Danio rerio: one gene and its partners. The protein of the gene in region 2 interacts with the protein of the main gene of each other region in a pairwise test. Links are inferred from orthologs where the notes say so. Each region holds a gene or a part of one and is shown on either strand. Other genes may lie near its edges. The genes, in order: hyi, tex11 and cdkn1a.

Evidence for each region.
Region 1: the proteins of tex11 (region 2) and hyi interact in binary tests that used the Homo sapiens proteins (3 or more experiments, as listed by UniProt). The two-hybrid records come from large-scale screens. The link is inferred for Danio rerio from reciprocal best matches to the Homo sapiens genes TEX11 and HYI.
Region 3: the proteins of tex11 (region 2) and cdkn1a interact in binary tests that used the Homo sapiens proteins (3 or more experiments, as listed by UniProt). The link is inferred for Danio rerio from reciprocal best matches to the Homo sapiens genes TEX11 and CDKN1A.

What each region holds. Positions count from the first base shown.
Region 1 is NC_133181.1:3,331,092-3,333,949, reverse strand, and holds part of hyi (putative hydroxypyruvate isomerase), read left to right. Parts: intron 1-30; coding exon 31-145; intron 146-1,196; coding exon 1,197-1,275; intron 1,276-1,359; coding exon 1,360-1,409; intron 1,410-2,110; coding exon 2,111-2,180; intron 2,181-2,858. UniProt on the Homo sapiens protein: Catalyzes the reversible isomerization between hydroxypyruvate and 2-hydroxy-3-oxopropanoate (also termed tartronate semialdehyde).
Region 2 is NC_133189.1:37,610,333-37,613,999, reverse strand, and holds part of tex11 (testis-expressed protein 11), read right to left. Parts: intron 2,776-3,667; coding exon 2,703-2,775; intron 2,595-2,702; coding exon 2,445-2,594; intron 1,058-2,444; coding exon 949-1,057; intron 836-948; coding exon 715-835; intron 354-714; coding exon 186-353; intron 1-185. UniProt on the Homo sapiens protein: Regulator of crossing-over during meiosis. Involved in initiation and/or maintenance of chromosome synapsis and formation of crossovers.
Region 3 is NC_133197.1:619,999-623,098, forward strand, and holds the end of cdkn1a (cyclin-dependent kinase inhibitor 1), read right to left. Parts: intron 3,046-3,100; coding exon of another isoform or gene 3,037-3,045; coding exon 2,628-3,036; intron 2,077-2,627; coding exon 2,021-2,076; 3' UTR 517-2,020; downstream 1-516. UniProt on the Homo sapiens protein: Plays an important role in controlling cell cycle progression and DNA damage-induced G2 arrest. Involved in p53/TP53 mediated inhibition of cellular proliferation in response to DNA damage.

The DNA of each region.
Region 1 (2,858 bases), on a different chromosome or scaffold from region 2:
TGTATATGTGATGTTCATGTGTGTCTCCAGGATTCACTTGATGGCTGGCAGGGTCCCGGCGGGGTCTGAACGCTGCGCTCTTGCCCTGCAGATGGAGGATACGTTTGTGCACAATCTGAAGCATGCAGCAGGTGTGCTAGACAAGGTGACCTTTGACCCCCTTAAAATTTCTAAATCAAAATTATAGAATCCAAATCTAAGTCATTAGAAATCCAATTCAAAATCTACAATTAAAAATCAAAATTGTAAAATTCCAAATTTAAATTTACAAAAAAAAAAAAAAAATTTAGAATTCCAAATTCTAAAGTTACAAAAATATATATATTTTTTGAGATTTCCAAATCTAAATTTTAGAGTTAATAATCAAAGTTTTTGAATTCTAATTTTAAGTTTTGAATTCTAAATTAACATTGTTGAATTCCAATTCAAAATATTAGAATTCCAAATCTAAATTTACAAAAAAATTTTTTTTTAAATTCTAAATCTAAATTTAATTCCAAATTTAAATTTTAGAAATATTAATCAAAGTTTTTTAATTCTAAATTAACAATGTTGAATTCCAAATCAAAATATTAGAATTCCAAATCTAAATTTACAACTAAAAATCACAATTTTAGAATTCTAAATCAAAGTTTTAGAATTCCAAATCTTTATTTAAGAATAAAAAAACTAAAAAAATAAATAAAAATTAAATTAAAAAATTTGAAATCAAAAGTTCAAAGTCCAAATTTTAATTGACTGCAGTCTTGTGTTCTTAGGTCTTACATATTTTTAAAAATTATTTATTTATTATTATTTACAGCATAAAATAATATATAACATAAATGAGTATATATAAATATCATTGTAGTCTTCCTCCAATGCTTACTGAAATACTCCTACAGTGCTTGAAACATTTGTTTTGTTTTTGATTTCGTGATGTTGTAACTCTCCACCGGGTCTCTACATTTAATACCGTGGTTTGGCTGGATGGTTTTGATGCTGTAATTTAGTGTAAGGCTGAATTTGAGAGCTTTTAAAACGATACTATACTATATAACTCTTCAATGCTGCTAATTTGATCAATAATCACTAAAAACTCTTTTACTTACACCTAACTTTTAGTACCTGTAGGTCACATATTTTGCAAAAAAAAAAAAAAAAAACGATCAAAAATTGTCTTCATCGCCCAAAAACAGTTTGTCTTTGCTCTTCAGGAAGGTCTGCTTGGTCTGATTGAGCCGATCAACAGCAGGATCACAGACCCACGATATTTCCTGCACTCTCCACATCAGGGTCAGCACTCTCTCACACTGAACATTGAGTGTGTGTTTTCTGATTCTGGATCATTTACTGATGTTTTATTGTGTTGGTGTGTAGCTGCTGAGATTCTGCAGAGAGTGGATCATCCCAGCATCAAGATGCAGATGGTTAGTTTTCTCATATTTCTCATATATTAGTCTGTCTGTCTGTCTATCTATTGTTCCATCCATCCATCCATCTATCTATCTATCCTTCCATCCTTCCATCCATCCATCCATCCATCCATCCATCCATCTATCTATCTATCCTTCCATCCATCCATCCATCCATCCATCCATCCATCCATCCATCCATCCATCCATCCATCTATCCTTCCATCCATCCATCCATCTATCCTTCCATCCATCCATCCATCCATCCATCCATCCATCCTTCCATCCATCCATCCATCCATCCATCCATCCATCCATCCATCCATCTATCTATCTATCTATCTATCTATCTATCGATCTATCTATCTATCTATCCTTCCATCCATCCATCCATCCATCCATCCATCCATCTATCTATCTATCTATCCTTCCATCCACATCCATCCATCCATCCATCTATCTATCCATCTATCTATCTATCTATCTATCTATCTATCTATCTATCTATCTATCTATCTATCTATCTATCTATCTATCTATCTATCTATCTATCTATCTATCTATCTATCTATCTATCTATCTATCTATCTATCTATCTATCTATCTATCTATCTATCCATCCTTCCATCTATCTATCCATCCATCCATCCATCTGCAGAAAACACACCTCAGACTCTCCATACACTGACTGTTCTTGTCTGCTTCTGCTGTTGTAGGACATCTTCCACTGGCAGATCATGGATGGAAACTTAACTCACAATATACGGAGATACTTACCAATGACAGGTAAACCTCACCGTTACTGCGGTAATACATAATCCTGCTGCAGTCTGTCTCAACCTAACAGACGTTATATTTCAACATCTTTACTATTAATAATTTTTAACATTCAAAAGTATTATTTTGATGAATTTTAGTAGTAGCGATTTGGCATTTTTACTTTATTTTGTAGAAAACTGAATAAAGAAAGTTTATTTTAGTGTGTGTGTGGGTATATATATATATATATATATATATATATATATATATATATATATATATATATATATATATATATATATATATATATATATATATACACACACACACACACATATATACACACATATATACACATATGCACAAACACCACAACAATAAAATAATAAAACATTTCTGTTTAAATTTCTACAAAATAAAATAAAAATGTCAAAATATTTCCTATATTTACAATATTAACATTCTAAGTTTGTATTTTTGTTGAACATTTTGTAGTAATATTTTGTCGATGTTCTGTGTTTATTTCAAGTTTTGTTTAACTGTCTTTGGTTATTTTAGTTTCGAACTTGAATACAAATTAGAGAAAAACAATACATTTTTGAGTAAAAACAGGCTCAGGTTTGATTTTTGTTGTGCTTTTTTACTATATTTTATCATGTTTATTGTTTGTTTTAGTATTCCAGCCTATATTAACAAAAAATAAAT
Region 2 (3,667 bases):
TGAGTTTATCTCCAACACACCGGCCTTCACGTTGTAAAGACCCGACACAGGTTTTATTTATGGTTGAGGGTGAAGTCTGCCAGGAACAAGTTTAGACAGGTGAGGTGTGGCGTTTGGGATTGTGGCAGTGAAATGTGTCACCTTGTGCCGAGTGTTCAAATGGCTGTACAGCGAGAGGCACATACCTGAGTTTGATAGCTGTCCTGCAGAGAGCCCAGATACCTCAAGAAGCTCATTCCCAGCCCACACCACCTCTCTGCTTCAGGGTATTGGGCCAGACTGTAGAGCAGGATTCCTGTATTCCACGCTCGGGTCAGCAGCCACAGGATCTCCAACTCCGGAAAGTCCTCGGTCTGTGATAGAAAAGAGATATGATGGAGGAATGGTTTGGTCTAAACGCTGTAATTATAGCTGCAGAATTATAGAATGCTATTCAATATCAATGGTGTCTTGAAGGTCATGAATTGAGAATAGCAGCCTGATGCTTATGCAAGTTTTCTGCAACGCTAGTCCAAGATAAAAGATACAGGCGAGATCTTCAAATTAGCATCCAAATTGGCAGGAAGAGGCTGGTGAATGGAGCATCTGCTAACTGAGGCATAACTAAAAGCCCATTGACAGAAACAGGAGATTCTTTCAAAGATGGGGATAATTGCGGGGCTGAGCTGCAGCGGGTCGTGTGTGATGCCTGCTGAGTCACCGTAACCAACTCACTGCAGTTGCTATGAGGGAAAGAGCTTCCTCATAGTAGCCCCACACTTCCTCCAACACGCAAGGCTGAACCTCGGACACACCGTTCGGCAGGCTCAGCTGAATCAGGCTGTGTAAACAGTTACTAACACATACACACACACACACATGAGTATAAGGTGTGTGTCACATGAGAAACAGTTTAATGTCTTTTGTTATGTGTCATTGTGTAAGTAGCAAACACTGAGCTCGTCTGACCTGCAGCGCATGAGGTCCACCTGTGGTTGTTTTCTGTGCAGAGACAGAGCGATCTTCAGTGCTTTCTTACAAAGTACCGGGTAATGGGCTGGTGGTTCCATTGCCAGCACTGTAGACACAAAGAACAGAACTATCAGATCAGATCCAGCCGTTTTGTACAATAGGGGTTCCCAAAGTTTTTAGCTCACAACCCTTAAAATTACAATGCCAGTGACTTGTGACCCCCAGTATCCTCTGAGGTGGTTTAAATATGCTGTATAAATCGTACACACTGGCCCACACATACCAATAGGTCCAAATCTAATCATCATTTAATTTTGGAGAACGCCACTTGGAGACAATCCTCCATGTTCATTTGTGGCTTGTGTTTATTTTTAATGTACGTGAGTGCTGTAAAGGTGTCAGAAGGTTTAATCTGGTGCCATAAAATCAATGTGCTGTGTGTTTAATATAACATAATCCCCCCAGGGGTGGCAGAAATGAAACGCTGATGGATTTGTATTTGCATTTTTAAAAAAAATTTTTTTAGGAGTTTTAAACTTTAATGGATAGAATTGTACAGAGAATCAACTGTATGATTAATTAAAAATAACTATAAACATTGATTTATATTAACTAATAAAATATAGATTTTTTAATTGTGTAATGAACTTATAACAATACTCAAGCTGCACCTGTTTTTGCCTCGATTTGCTCACCAATGTCTTCTGCATTGTCCTGTATCTGAGGAGTGTCAGTTTTTATATTTTTAAATCTGATTCAGTCACAGCACTTCATTTCAGTTTGCTTTTTTGTAGCTTAGCAATAAAAACAAACAAAAAAAGCTTACATTAAATTAGAAACGAGGATCTCTGTAAAAGACTCCAGCCCTGCCCATCATTCTTACTCTCTTCTCAGATGGGATGGTGGGCCAAATCACAGGTTATCATGGGCCAATTTTGGCCCGCAGGCCCTAGTTTGGGCATCTCTAGTCTAAAGACATGCGCTACAGGTGAATTGGGTGAATAAAATTTGTCGTAATTTATGAGTGCGTGTGTGAATGTGAGAATGTATGGAGGTTTCCCAGTACTGTGTTCCTGCTGTTTAAAACATATGCTGGAATAGTTGGTTGTTCATTCTATTTTGACTACCTCTGATAAATCAAAGACTAAGCTGAAAGAAAATAAATGAATTAAAGTATGATTTAAAACAAAAACAACTCCAAACTTTTGAATAGTAGAGTATATCCATACACAGAGCCAATAGTTGATTATCCATTAGAGCATAGGTCTCAAAATCCTGGAGGTCTCAAAATCCTGGAGGGCCACAGCTCTGCAGTTTTGCTCCAACCCTAATCAAACACAGCTGATCCAAATAATCAAGGTGTTCAAGACTACTAGAGAATGTTCAGCTGGTGTGATTTTGAGGTGGTTGGAACTAAACTATGCAGAGCTGCGGCCCTCTAGGAATTAAATTTGAGACCACTGCATTAGAGGGTTATGTCTTGAGAAGCTGACCTGCGATCACTTCTAACAGCTTGGTCTCGATGTTATCCAGCTCCAAAACTGATTCAAGCACAGTCTCCAGTTTTGGATCATTTAATTTGGCCCGAGCCTCAAACTCATAGAGCAGCAATAATGAGTCTGTTTTGTCTTGAGAAGAAATGCCTAATGAAGAAACAACATGTAAAAAAAGTGATTATGGTCCTTGTTAATTTGGAGAAACAGGTAGAAGTTAATTCTGCCTACGTAAAATAATTGAAGCAGGAAATGCACCTGATGTTTTGATGGTGGTCCAGATCTCTTTACAGAGTTGAATGTTTTCTAGAGTCTGGGTCAGCAGCTCAGTCTGAAAGTAAAGGAGATGTTTTAAACTGCGCCCTCTGCTGGTTAACTGCATGAATGGTGAAAACTGAAATGGGAGAGAGTTTATCCCATACAGGGATAGTTACAACACATCCTCAACTGAACACAAAGTAAGATATACTGAAGAATGTTGGGAAAAAACAGCCATTGACTCCCATATTAATTGTGTTCCAGATATGGATGTGAATGGCTGATTTTTTCCACAACATTCTTCAGTATATTTTGTTTAAAAAGAAGAAAGTAAGGCGACACGATGGCTCAGTGGTTAGAACTGTCGTCTCACAGCAAGAAGGTCGCTGGTTTGAGTCCCTGCTAGGTCAGTTGGGATTTCTGTGTGGAGTTTGCACATTCTCCCTGTGTTGGCATGGGTTAGCTCCGTTTGCTCCAGTTTCCCCCACAGTACAAAGACAACCACTACAGGTAAATTGGGTGAACTAAATTGTTCTTAATACTTAGTGTGTGACTAAGCCGAAGGTAAATTAATGAATGGATAAAGAAGAAAGTAATCCATAAACCTTTTATTTCTATTATTTTTTTATTGTTAAGCCCATAAACAGTGTATACAATTTATACATACATCAACAAATAGGCAGATCATCTTTAACAATGAAAAGTAATCCATAAACATTTAGGAGCATGATTTATTTTTGACTAAAAGGTCTCCAACTATCAAACCCAATTTTATTGTTTCATTTATTCAAATATTTTCTTTCTGGCTTAGTCCCTTTATTAATCTGGGGTTGCCACAGCGGAATGAACCGCCAACTTATCCATCACATATTTTATGCAACGGATGCCCTTCCAGCTGCAACTCATCACTGGGAAATACACCCATTCACTCTCATTCAGTCATACAGTACGGACAATTTAGCTTA
Region 3 (3,100 bases), on a different chromosome or scaffold from region 2:
TGCATCTTGGAATACTTTGTTTCTTCGAATTCCAATTTTTTTCGTTTGCATCTTGGAATTCATACTTTTTTCTTGGAATGCTTAGTTTACATGTTGAAATACGGTTTTATTTTTTTGCTTGGAATTCAAAGTTTGCATCTTGTAATACTGCTTTTTTTTTAGTTCTGATGTTATGTTTAAAATTTACAATTCTGGCATCTTTGCTTGGAATTCCCAGTTTGCATCTTGAAATACTGACTTTTTTCTTGGTATTATCAATTCACTCTTCAAAATTCCAACTTTTTATTCCTTTGAATTCTGAGTTGGAATACTGACTTTTTTTTCTTGGATTTGTAAATCCACACCTGATAATTCTGACAAAATCTGGGTTTTCATCTCACAATATATATTTTTTTGTTTGTAATTTTTACTTCTCCTAATTCTAACTTTCATTCTTCAAAATCTAAATTTACATCTCACAATTCTGAACTGTTTCCTAAAGGAATTCTGACAATTAAAAAAGTAACAAGAAACCAATTTTATATCATAAACAGCTTTATTACAAGAACAATTACATGTAAATCTACAATACAATATTAATCTGTAAAATAAATACAGCATATATTTTGAGCTCTTTAACAATAACAGACCTGTGCAAGCTACACTACTCCAAAAAATAAAAACAAAACAAAAGAAACCCCAAGTGCAATTCTCAATCGACGGCGAATTATCCAATAAACAGGATATTTACAGACGGGTCGCAGAAAACAAGCAGAGTTCTAGAGCTGGTAAAGAGCTGAATGCTAAACTTCAGAAAGCCGACAGAGCTGAGATCTTGATTAGGAAACACATGAAAGCTGGTGTTCGTACTTCTTATGAAGTTTATTTTAATGTATTTGTAGAGCGTTTGTAAATATGATGTAGTGTCAGCGTTCATGGAGCAAGAGCAGAACACACTTCTGCGCAAATTCGTTACGAAAAATGCTGTGTTTTAACAGTCTTTTGTGGTCTAATCTGATCTATGTTGTATTAAAATTGAAATGCGTAAAATTGCGTCAATTCTAATTCTCGAATTGACGTTTCACGCAATTAGATTTTCACGCTAAACCTAATGCAACAAAATAATTTCACGAATAAATTGCGCAAATAATTATTTAATTCTTTGTAAAAAAAATGTGCATGTTAATTTTCAGTTTTTTTTATTTCTTATTTTTTAACTTTTTTTATTGTCATTGCAATATTTCTTATATATTTGGTAGAATAAGTTTGTTGCTATAATTATTCTTAAAGCATTTCTATACTAATTCTGTACAAATTTAACAAAAAAAAATGTTTTCCAAAAGATTTGCATAATTCTTACAACATTTTGTGCACGTAAACTTTAAGCCTACATTTATTTCAACACAAAAACTGCATAAAAAAAATTGTGCAAAAATGTTTTCGTTAAAATAAACGCAAGAATGAATTTGTTCTCTCAGTTCTATCTGCTCGTGTTTCATGAACGTCGCCAAGTGTTTTTTTTTTAAACAAAGTTTAATGTAGTAGAAAAACGTAATTGCAGCTCAATTACGATAAAGATGTGAGAACTTACTGGCAGCTTCATGAAGGTTTATGTGTAAAATAACATAAAGGGTTAGAATTATAAATAGAAGAAGAGGAAAAAACAACATTTGGCACCAAATGTTTAGAGTTTTAAAACATTAGCTACGTTTTGTGCAATAAGGCAATGTGAATATGTGCACGCTGAAATAAAAATCAGCGCTTTATATTGTTCGTAATGAAACAGTTGTCATGATTCTGTGGTCCCGTCGAGAGACAATCTCTGGAAGACTGAGGAATGGATCTTTCCAGAACATTTCCACTTGTAAATGTTAACCGTTGACATAAAACGGTTGAAATAAAAACGGAATAAACGGTGTCGTCTCTGGTTCCTGAAGGTCGTTTTCTGTCAATAACGCTGCTACGAGACGAATGCAGCTCCAGACAGATGAAGGTAGATGCAGGTCAAGAGTTTATCTGTGTGTGTGTGTGTCTCCTTCAGCTACTGGCCGGATTTGCGCGGCGTGGCCACTAGACGCTTCTTGGCTTGGTAGAAATCTGAGAACAGAGAGACGATATTATTTGTTTATTATTAGTCGAACTCACGCTTTAAATTTACATCAGAATACAAGCAGTTTAATATTACTACAATAATACTACACTCAGTGGTTCATTATTATAACAAAAAAATTAATTCTAAATTTGTATTAATGTAAAAATATCTATCAATATGCGATTATGTATATAATTCAAATATGCGATAATGTAAATCAATCTGTGTCGTGTTTGTTAGCTGAAGTTTTTGGTTGATTAAAGTACAATATAAAATAAATACGCAATTTAAAAAATGCATTAAAATATAAATATTAGATGAAAAATTTAAAAACAGAAACTTAAAACTTTACATCTAAAAATTCAACACTTTTAATAGGGTATTATAGAAAAATGCATAAAAGCAGATCATCAGAGAGTTGCATTATAGAAACACTACGACATTTATTTATTTATCTTTCTTTAATTTTTGTTATTTAAAAAAATAATCAACAAACAAACATAGCTATATACATAAATAATAACAATACTAAATAATAATAATAAAGAGGTCTGACCTGTGATGTTGGTCTGTTTGCGCTTCAGCTCGCTGCTCTTCTCTGGGGTTTTCTCCACTTCATGCGGGAGTGCAGCACATCGTTCTGGTGTTTTCGGGATGTTTTCCTTTCCAGCGGCGGACTGTCCGGGCTGATGAGCCTCACAGGGCCGTTTCTGCTGCTTTTCCTGACACGCGCGGTACAGTAGTGGCACGCGCACGCCGGACACGCCCTCCCAGTGGAAGTCTCCGCCCTCTAGTGGTTTCTCAGACGCAAAGTCGAAGCTCCAGCGTCGCGATGCGTCCTCCAGATCGCGCCGTAGCGCCGCCCGGTACTCACGCTGCAGCTGCTCGCGGTCCACCGGCCCGAAAAGACTCCGCCTAGTCGGCCCATTACCGAGTGAACGTAGGATCCGCTTGTGCGCCGCCATTGTGACAATCTGCAAACACAAACCACAGTAAAAATCACATTAAATATTGCTACACAATACATCG